3 linked regions of the Xenopus tropicalis genome follow. The protein of the gene in region 2 interacts with the protein of the main gene of each other region in a pairwise test. Links are inferred from orthologs where the notes say so. Each region holds a gene or a part of one and is shown on either strand. Other genes may lie near its edges.

Region 1 (4,173 bases), on a different chromosome or scaffold from region 2:
AAATATAACATAGGGAACAATATGTCTAGCACAGTTACCCAATGTTTGAAAAGCCAAATGGTATAAAGGATGGCACATACAGGCAAAAACTAGGGTTACCACCAGCTCTGCAAATAAATTTTCCCACTGTTATTAATACTCATTTCCCCCACACTGCCTTGCAGGTCACAATTAACACCCCGTGTGTGAGCGCTGTATGGCTTCCATCTGGTCCACCAGATACAATTGCAGTTTAGGGATGCACTGATTCTGTAAATAACAAATCTTCCACAAAACGTTTGGACAACTGAACATTATATTTTAACAGATTCAGAACAGTATTTGGGCAAAGTCACAACCTCAGTGGTTCATGTGACCTTGCAAAAACAAACTGGATTCAGTGCATCCCTCATGGCAAATAAATTAAATATTAAATCATTTTTTACGTATATTCATCACAAACTTTCAGTTGCCTTAAAGTTATCTGCAAATGTAAGTGGCACTGAAAGCAGTATTTGCTCTGCTCTTTCTGACTCCTGAAACAGTGTAGTAAGTCAACTGGCTTCTGCTACATAGTTTCAGAACCAGGTCAGGCAGATGCTGCTTTAATAGCAGTTACATTTACAAATAACTTGAAACTACAGTGGAGAGCCCAAATAAATTCTCTAATCATAGCCAGGCTGCCCCTCTCCCACCAACCACTGCTTTGGCGCCCCAAACCCACAGTTTTACACTCAAGCACTAAACCCATCTCCTGTGCGATATCTGCTATTAAACTGCACTTCCCATAATGCCATGCCAGCCTGCCATAGTTACACTGGAAAATAAGGTGCTACTATAGTTACGATAAGTAAGCTACTGAGAGTAAAGAACGTTCCCTACCTGCCAATTTTTAGTCTACAGAACCCCTAGTATTGCGCTTTCAGGCTCTTACCCACATACGATGTACCTGCCGTAGGGTAACTCCCAAACAGATTCCAAGCTGAGCGACTGCTGCTAATTTAAACAGCCCTCCCTATTCACTATTGGTTTTGAAGGGAGGCGTTACGGAACGCTTAGAACCAATTGCAAAGCTGACAGAAGAATTTAGCCAATGAAAAAAGAGAGGAGCCTGGATGTCGTCCAATGAGGTATTCCGGAAGGGGACGGAACCGGCGCCTTCAGCTGACCGGAGATTGTCAGGTCGTATAGAAGGCTTCAAACCTTTAGCACAGCGCATGCGCAGTGCAGAGGGACTGTTCGTCCCCCTGACAACGCAAGAGGTTCGGCGCATGCGTGATAGGTTCTCCGGGCCGGGTGTGTCGGTCCCCGCAGTATTTCGGTCCTGGTTTCCGGTCACTATGTCGGACGCCACGGTAGCGGATACCCGGCGGCTAAACTCCAAGCCCCAGGACTTGACGGACGCCTACGGCCCTCCCAGCAACTTCCTAGAGATCGATATCTTTAACCCACAGACTGTGGGAGTCGGGCGCAACCGATACACAGTGTACGAGGTCCGCATGAGGGTGAGTGTTGCCTGGGCGCAGAAAAGCTTTATTATACTGAGTCAGGGAGGGCGATAAATGGGCAGTATACCCCCTGATTATATAAGTGGGCATTAAATAGTCACAGTGTGGAGATAGGGTGCAGCCTACGGGTCAGCGCTCAGGGAATCTCTGCTCTTTCAGCTGCACATTGAGCTTTACATTGGTATGCTGGCAGTCTGTTTCCTAAACACCAGCAACAAAAGAAAATCTACTTATAACGTTTTAAAACACTTCAGTTCAAACTAACCAGTAGTATTATTTATTGGAATTATTTGTTTGTAAATGTAGCTGCAGTTGAAAGCAGTATCTCTCTGCACCCTGGGTTCTGACTGTTCCTACAATGTAGCAGAAGTCAGTTGTTGTTCTGCCAAGGAAGGTCTGGTAATCAGCAGTGCAGAGAATGGCAAGGAATAGATGTGACACTGCTAAATGCATCTTTCTGTTTGAATATCTGGAATGGGGAGGGCACCATCGGTGAATTCCCAGTCACCAACCTTTACATATGACCCTTTGATTTAGATCATGGCGCTAAACATTGAAGCCCAGGGGGCAAATTGAACACCCAAGTCCTTTGTGACCACCATGCTAGAGAATTGTGACCAGATCATTTGGAGAATCAGAATGTAGCTACAGAATGTGATTTCAAACTGGTAAAGCGAAAACTTGTGATTTTTCAGATATTTTGGTCATCCTTACCTAATTTTTCTTTTCCCGCTGAACACTCAGGGTGAAGACACACTAGGCTACTAGTAGCAGCTACTTTTTCAAGGCTACTCAACTCCAGAAAATACCCTGCTATAGACAATACTGAGAATTGCCTCTGCTAAAACACACATAGAGATATTTATCAGTAAATGATCAGCATTGCCTTTTTTAGTAGCCACAAGTAGCTGCTACTAGTTGCTCCATGTGTCTTCACCCTTAGAATTTGACTAATTAATATGGACTTCATTTGGGCTTTTTACTGATAATGCTACCCCTTTGGCCTGTGTTTGACATAATCAGTATGAAGAGTGAACACTGTCAGACCCAGATTTGTGGGAAGGCCACAAAGGCTTGGGCTTAGGGCAGCTGAGATCTGGGGGTGGCATGGCGCCTGCTGTCCGCTTCTGCAGTAAGGACTGGGTGGGAGATTTTGACAGCTGATTAAATCTTCTGTCCATCCAGTCGTGCAATTGTGGGGAGTAGATGAGTAAGGTGTGAGCTGGAGGGGCAGGTTCAGGGGGTTTGTGAGAGGCCAAGGGGAGCTCCAGTTTTAAGTCTAGCCCTGAGCACTGTACTGTTTGCTCCTTAGGATGTCTTTGTGCCTCCCCACAGCCTGGCCTCTTGGATAAAGCGCTGCCTAATGCAAACAGCTCTCCATTCAGCTTAATGACCTGCAAATAAAGCTGGAAAGGAAGGGCTTGCACAGTAAAGGTGCCTTATACTGCCCATGTATGAAGCCTGTCTGCCTGACTGACTGATTTGGACAAAAATTGTCTAGATATCTATCTGCCAGGCATAAAAATCCTGTCAGGGCGAGGACTGCATCAGCTCATTAATGTGTTCCTTTCCCTGACAGCCTGCATAGTTTCATTTGTTGATACTGCCCAGCTCAATGTGGGTGTATCGGGGAAAGATCAGCAAACTGATTTTTAGGTGCATGGCCTACTTATCGCATTGTGCCTAAACTCCATTCTTTGACTTTCTCTATGCTGACACAGGCTGAGGGTCGTCGACTTTCCTCAGGTGCCGCTTTACCAGGAGTGGCCAAAAGCCACCAGTGTTTGTATTTTAGATCACTGCGCCTCTAGCTTTTTGCATTGGCCGATTATGTATTTCTGCAAGAGCTGTTAGTGTTGGTTGCCTCTTTCTGTGTTAGAATATTCTGTAACAAATAAATAAACAATATTGACTCCTGAGAGAGTTCTCTCATTACATAAAATGCATAAAGGAAGGAATGGGCCCCACTACATTAGGCATTGCAGTGAAAATGACAGTGAGTCACCAATGTTCCTTTTTAGCTGTTGCTGTAATATTAAAGAAAAATTAAGAATGTACCAGTGAATTATACTCCGCTAAATATAGAAGGATTGTGCTTTAAAAAAGTTGTGATTCTGACTGATTTATTGAGAAAATCCACCAAAACCCCACTAGTCCCGCCCATCTGTTCCACTTCCTGCTGGCTGAATTCTCTGGCTGTGCAGGGGGCGGCAGCTCTTAGAACATGGCACTCTAGGATAGGAACCAATCAGCAGCTAGGCTGACCTGATAGGGAACCGAAGTATTGTATACAAACTAATGTTCTATCTTTCTATAGCAAAAACACTCATGGATAGGCCCATAGATCTCTGCTATACAGAAATTGTATTTACTGTCATAAACAACATTTAAATAATGCAGTTATTGTAAAGCAGGCTTTAAATTTGTAGGTTGTAGGGACATTTGATGGTATAGGATTTGTGTTGGCTAGTCAAGGGGGACTGTCTATTGGCCTTTTTCCCACCTCCTTCCTGAGCAGAGCAACATCAGAAAATTTCTGTTTTCCATCTGAATGTATATCTCTCTGACTGTAAAGTTACAGGACCGGACCAGCTGGTAGTGTGGTTACAAAATTCATTAAAAATAATAATAATCAAAAAATAATGTAAATTGAAAGGTGCTTAGAATAGTTTTTTTTAAGGTTTAC
Region 2 (3,659 bases):
ATTCGCCTTCGTGTTTTTACAAGGTTGCTGCAAATCTCATGGAACCTTTGTTGCTGCTCAGTGGTCCTGAAAACAAGTGAAATAATGGACATTAGGCCATTGGAAGAGTTTTGTTTTAGAAAGCATGATTAGCGCAAGAAAGGGTTTTAAATGGATATCAGACGCCTCTGACAACCTGGAATGTGTTATTGGGTCTAACTGACACAACATGTTACAAATGCACATTCCTATTCCTAACAGACTGGAAGCCCATTGAATATATCCTCCTCAAATTTTACTTTATACTATTTAGTGCTTCTATACTTGCCAACAGTTCTGTCATTTTAGGTTGAAAGAACACAAAGGGGAGAGGAACAGTCTGGTGCCACACTCATGAAGACCTTATCTTCAAGGAGAACTAAAGTTCAAAGACAAAATTAGTCTAGACATACTATATCTTATGTTATGGGGTTTTTGTTTCAGCCTAGTGCCACAAAATCCATTTTTCCAGTGATAAGCTGTGCCTTAAGATGCCCCAGCAGGTCTCCATCTTCAAATCATGGAAGCATGCTGGGCTACTAGCAGTTAACTGAGCTTGTGCACTGACACACAGTATACACAGAATTCACATTACAAGGCTACTTGGTACTTAATTCACATTAAATGGCAACATAGACACCAGTTATTCTGCATCAGAAATGAATAAATAATCAGCCTTGTAACATAATTTCTGCTTCTGATGCTTGTCCTCTGGCTAATGATATATGCGCTGGAAGAATTAAATGCTAACTTGCAATACACCTTATAAATAAAATGCAGACAAGATGCACAAGATACTAGTGTCAATGAATCAAATAAAGTATAAATATATGCATTCTTACTGACCATTTGTTTGAGCCAAAAATCCTGGGAGCAAGTGTTGGAACAAGATAATCAGCCAAACACAGGCACATGACAAAGCAGGATATACCAGAGAGGACAGACGGATCCAAGTAATAGATCATCCTGTGAAAAATTAAGATTTAAGACCATGATTACTCTATGTACCCCAAATCAAAATTATTTTATTAAAAGTACAGATGTCACCCAATTACTCTTTTTCACCTAAGGAGAAATGGGCACACAGTGCTCTGCCAAAAAATGACAAGTTGAAGTACATATACAAAGTTGCATGGGAAAATATAACAGCTGGAAGACTGAAAAAACACAAAATGCCACCATTTACTTACCTTTCCCAAGAGTCAGTAGATCCGACTTGCTCATGGGCAGTAAAGTGAAAATGAAAAATGTTACTTTACTGCACACGTACAAGCCCAAGCTAGGGACCCTTGCAATGTAAATAAAACGGTGGCACTGCACTGTTTTTTCCTGGTGCATTTTTTTCCAAAAAGAAACTTCAGACTGAGTTAGCAGCTTATTGGCTTAAGTTATGGGGCAATATCTAGCCAACTTAATCAGGCAGGTTTAAAAATCCCATTAGACGAGCACACAAGCATTTTAATGCAGTCCTTATTCAGTGGGCCTTTGTAGGTCTCAGGGTATGATCTGATCTTGGGATCAGCCTGATTTGGATCCTCTTGTTTGGGGGCCTTGCCAAATGAGTGGAATTGGCAGTGTATGGCCAGGTTTAGCTATATAATACACTGGAGGGTACCTAATATTTTGGCTTCCCTGGTTAATAAATATTTCCCTGACCCTTAAGTATTTCCAGCTGAAAAGCCCCAACTGCTTACGCATTCACCCATTTAAAATGGATGGAAAGTGACAGTGATGGTTTAAACACTAAATTGGTCCTCAGCTGTAGACAAGCTTAACAGTATTGGTGCTCCCTCTCCCTTGGCTCCACCAGTGCAAAATCCATACTATAATATCCACACAAAGAGGAGCATTAAATGCTTGGATAAGGGGCTACAGCAACTGAAAACATGTCAGCTGCATAAAGCACCAATAGCAGTATAAACTGCATAAAGCACCAATAGCAGTATAAACTGCATAAAGCACCAATAGCAGTATAAACTGCATAAAGCACCAATAGCAGTATAAACTGCATAAAGCACCAATAGCAGTATAAACTGCATAAAGCACCAATAGCAGTATAAACTGCATAAAGCACCAATAGCACTATAATCTGCATAAAGCACCAATAGCAGTATAAGTTGTATGTGTACCCCTCTCTGTATTGATATTATATTGTGACTGCTGTGCTGTCCAAAAGAATCAGTACAGTAGAGTAGCAATTTGGATTATTATTAAATAACACATTTCTGCTGGAAGAATATTTCTACACTACTAAAACTACTTATGGTAAGTCAAAAATCATTACAGACATGAAGCCAAAATATTTACTTTAAGAATATGTTCAAACCTATTACTTACAGAAATAGAAAAGAAACAGCTCCCATTATAGCTGCTGGGAACCATGGCTTCTCCCAACGAAGAACACGATCGGTCACCAGAATCACTTCACCCCATCCTTGAAAATGCTCTTCAAGGCTGGCGGTCTCCGCAGCCTTTAGAAAAAGATTTCAGAATAAGTCATAGAATTATTAAATGTAATATTTTATTTCAATCACAGTGCAGGATAACCTGTATCTTTCTGTAGTTTGAATCACCATACCTTGAGTCTCCAAAAGAATCATTTAACTATTAATTAAACCCAATAGGATTGTTTTGCCTCCAGTAAGGCTTAATTATATCTTAGGTGTGATCAATTACAAGGCACTGAAATAAAAAAAATAAAAAAATGTAATGATTACAATGGAGTCTATGGGAGATGGGCCTCCTCTAATTGGAGCTTTCTGGATAACGGGTATATATTATCAACTGAAACTTGTGTATTGTAACAAATATTGCACCCTTTGTTTTAAAATATGAGGATATCATGTCACCTTGTAAAAGATGAAATATACTTAAGCTTTGCCTTTGTGTCTTTATATGTTAATGGAACTCCTTGGTGACTTTTTAATATCACTATAATACAGAATATGGCACACGCAAAGACAAGTTCTAAGGTTAAAGGAGGCTTGCCTATTATTAGGTGTGGTTGCTTATGAAACTCATCAGGCATACCTTTTAGATGGATGGAATAAAGTCATGTTTTAACAAACATCTTTTGTGGTCAATTGGTGTGCGAAAGCAATTTAGGTTGAATGTTTCTTCTACCGCCTGAGGATACAGGTTCACGGCTTAAGGTACCTGGACCAACTTTCCTAATTGGTGAGTTTAGCTGACAATTACTAACTGGCCAATATTACTCTATTAAGCTTGAGACGGTATCTCACCAATTTACAAGGGACGTGTATGCTTTACACTTTATCTACTGTGTCCGGGTGACCCCCAATAACTATTATGGATAAGTGTGAAGTGATTGTATCACTATTAGGGCAATGGCACATGGTAAGATTTTTTGCCCGTGGTTAAATCTGCTTGGAAAGATATATTGTTGAGCTATTATTATACTGATGTTACTGAATGTTAAGAAGCCCTCTGTGTGTGTAAACACTTACCTGATACCCCGGCCGGTGTTCCTGTTAGCAGAAAGCGGACCGACTCGGAGTTCCACCAGCAAGCATCATGGAGGAATCCTCTTCCTCCTCCTTTCTTTGCGCTAGCTAGCTTTTCCACTCCTCCAAGCAAGAAGACGAAAGGAAGAGGATTGCTCGCTCCCCAGTCTGGTTCAG
Region 3 (2,658 bases), on a different chromosome or scaffold from region 2:
CAAGCAGAAAATGATGCTGGCCTGTAATATAAGCTTATGCAGAGTACACTGGTTTCTGGGCTGACATAATTTTCTGATAAGCCATATATTGTGACATTTATATTCTATATATACTGTAAATTGAGTGGGTTCCTAAGCTCGGGTAAGTAACAGCAGCACAGCGTATGTGTAGGGAATCAGCGGAAAAGATGGGGGGGGCATCTTGGGGGCACAGATCTTCCCTGCTAAAGGGCGGTAGTTGCCTTGAACTGGCAGAGAAGCCCAAAACATAAATGTTCAGCATAACTACTTCTTTCTTAAGCTTTAGTTCTCCTTTAATGAAGTCCCAGTGCTCAAAGTAATTGTGGCAAATACGGATCAATTCTCTACCTGTAGGTTAGGCAATGGGTGATTATGTGATTATGAAGTACAATGTGGTTTGAATGACACTATTGGTGTTATTTGTTGAAACTTTCACTGTGTATAGAATTTTTATAATAACCTATTGTAGAATATTTCCGCATGTCTATATCGCTGCATAATTCTGATGTAACCTGTAAGTTTCAGTAGCAAAAGCAAAAAAAAAAAAAAACACCAATAAATACAACTTATTAGATACTGATTGACAAAAACTTGTATACAAAAATATTTACTGATGTCACAATATAAATACAAGGAGATGTTGTTGCTGTGTTTTGTCCTATTTTTAGAGGAAGCGCCCTAGGATCTCAGTGCTTTTCGTGCCATTTCTAGTGCTCCTACTTGGGTCTCATTTCCACCAATAAATCCACTGGCATGAACAAAGATGCAGCCTGGTATCCCGCTAACAGAAGAGAGATCATCTGCGCGAAGTCCGCGCCAATCCTCGGGGAGAGACAGACTGTGGGGTTAAGAAGATCAGTAATTAAAGGGAAACTATACCTCTATAAAATATAATGCATATAACAGCTCATATGTAAAACACTGCTTCAAACTAAATAAATCATTTAAATCCACTTTTCTAGTAGCATGTGCAGTTGAACAATCCTAAATAGAAAATTGCCATTTTAAGTACTAAAGGCTGTTTTGTGGGATCATAGGATTCAGGGTGCACACAAACAAACCAAGGGCACACATACATGTTAGGTCTCATCAGCCAGTGAATGGACAAAGTTCTGTCTTTTACTCCCACACTTCTCCCTGTTACAGTTAGAGCTGCATTATTTCCCTCCAGATGTGCGGTGGGCATTAGTACAACCATGATAGTATGTTAAAATAAGTTTCCATTTTGCTGCTATGCTTATTTTATGTGTTTAGCCAAATACTTTCTGTATCCAAAGAAACTAAGTACGGAGCAACATCCACACTGCCGTTTAAAAAATCATTTCTTTATTCCATCTCCTTAAAAACATGTTGTGCTTATACAGAAAAAGACCATACGCTTGACGCGTTTCGTGGTGTCTCACCACTTTTTCAAAAGCTGCATGGTACATCCATTCAGAAAATACCCTTTATAGGTAAACAAAACTCCTCCCACACATCTTGTTAACCCTTATAGTGCATATATCATTATTAAAAACAATGCTACCCAGTAAAAAACACTGGAGCTTATTATTTAAAGCTTATTAACATCCATCAGCCACAGGCAGTTAAAGAGATACAACAAATATGTAAATGTACATATATACACTACCCCTATATATGTGTGCACATATCTATATATACCCATATACAAATAACCATCAGTCAATAGAAACAGGTTAATTCCCACTCTCTATTCATACCTCCCAATGACTCTATAGTACCCAACTGATAAATCCAAAATGCTTCTCTACGTAACAATCTATTCTCAAAATCACCTCTCTTTATATTAAAACCACCTGAATCTATAATCTGAAAATGAAAATCCATGTTCCCTCCATGTTTATCAAGGGAATGTTTAGCTATAGCCGATTTGATATCCCCTCTACCTAGTACATATACTGGGAAAATATATGTTATTAAACAATATTTTAATTGTACCTCACAAAAGGTGATATATTTGATTACATGTAAATGTGGTGCTCAATATGTAGGTAAAACAGTCAGGAAAGCGTGTGAACGTATTTTGGAACATCTATCGGCCATAGGTAGAGGGGATATCAAATAGTTTCTTTGGATACAGATTATTTTGCCGTCTGGGTGCCGGCTGTGCGTTTGAACACACACTGCTGGATCTGTAAGTGCTCCCGTGAGTTTTAAAAAATAGCCAAATACTTTCTACCACACTGTCTCAACGTAACGTGATGTTGCATTTTAGTTATAAAACAGGCAGGACAGTATATTTTATAATTATTTTTAAGATCCCTATTAACATGTGAACAAGAAGTGTGCTGAATACTGTTACCGGTTCAGGAAAGTGTTTGGGCCTGTAGGGACACATTGCACCCTCCACTTTGCGCTCTGGTCAGGATACAGTACATATTTCACTTGCTTTTCCAGACCAAGCTCTTTCTCTAGTTGGAAGAGGTGTTCCTTCCATGGGCAGCCACCCTGTGCCAGGACAATCACCTCACCACTCTCATCCACCTGTGCCAAAAATAAACAATTTCATCCCAAAATGCCAATTTCTCATTCAGATGTGACATGTGTTATCCATGAGACGAATGAAATGAAACCAAAATGGGAGTCACATACCTGAATTCTTTTCCTGATCGCCTC

The links.
Region 1: the proteins of arl6ip1 (region 2) and snx12 interact in binary tests that used the Homo sapiens proteins (3 or more experiments, as listed by UniProt). The two-hybrid records come from large-scale screens. The link is inferred for Xenopus tropicalis from reciprocal best matches to the Homo sapiens genes ARL6IP1 and SNX12.
Region 3: the proteins of arl6ip1 (region 2) and c12orf10 interact in binary tests that used the Homo sapiens proteins (3 or more experiments, as listed by UniProt). The two-hybrid records come from large-scale screens. The link is inferred for Xenopus tropicalis from reciprocal best matches to the Homo sapiens genes ARL6IP1 and MYG1.

The regions. Positions count from the first base shown.
Region 1 is NC_030684.2:44,619,354-44,623,526, reverse strand, and holds the start of snx12 (sorting nexin-12), read left to right. Parts: upstream 1-1,283; 5' UTR 1,284-1,319; coding exon 1,320-1,484; intron 1,485-4,173. UniProt on the Homo sapiens protein: May be involved in several stages of intracellular trafficking.
Region 2 is NC_030685.2:32,823,161-32,826,819, reverse strand, and holds part of arl6ip1 (ADP-ribosylation factor-like protein 6-interacting protein 1), read right to left. Parts: intron 2,490-3,659; coding exon 2,356-2,489; intron 985-2,355; coding exon 865-984; intron 67-864; coding exon 1-66. UniProt on the Homo sapiens protein: Positively regulates SLC1A1/EAAC1-mediated glutamate transport by increasing its affinity for glutamate in a PKC activity-dependent manner.
Region 3 is NC_030678.2:147,125,399-147,128,056, forward strand, and holds the end of c12orf10 (UPF0160 protein MYG1, mitochondrial), read right to left. Parts: coding exon 2,635-2,658; intron 2,527-2,634; coding exon 2,345-2,526; intron 860-2,344; coding exon 700-859; 3' UTR 602-699; downstream 1-601. UniProt on the Homo sapiens protein: 3'-5' RNA exonuclease which cleaves in situ on specific transcripts in both nucleus and mitochondrion. Involved in regulating spatially segregated organellar RNA processing, acts as a coordinator of nucleo-mitochondrial crosstalk.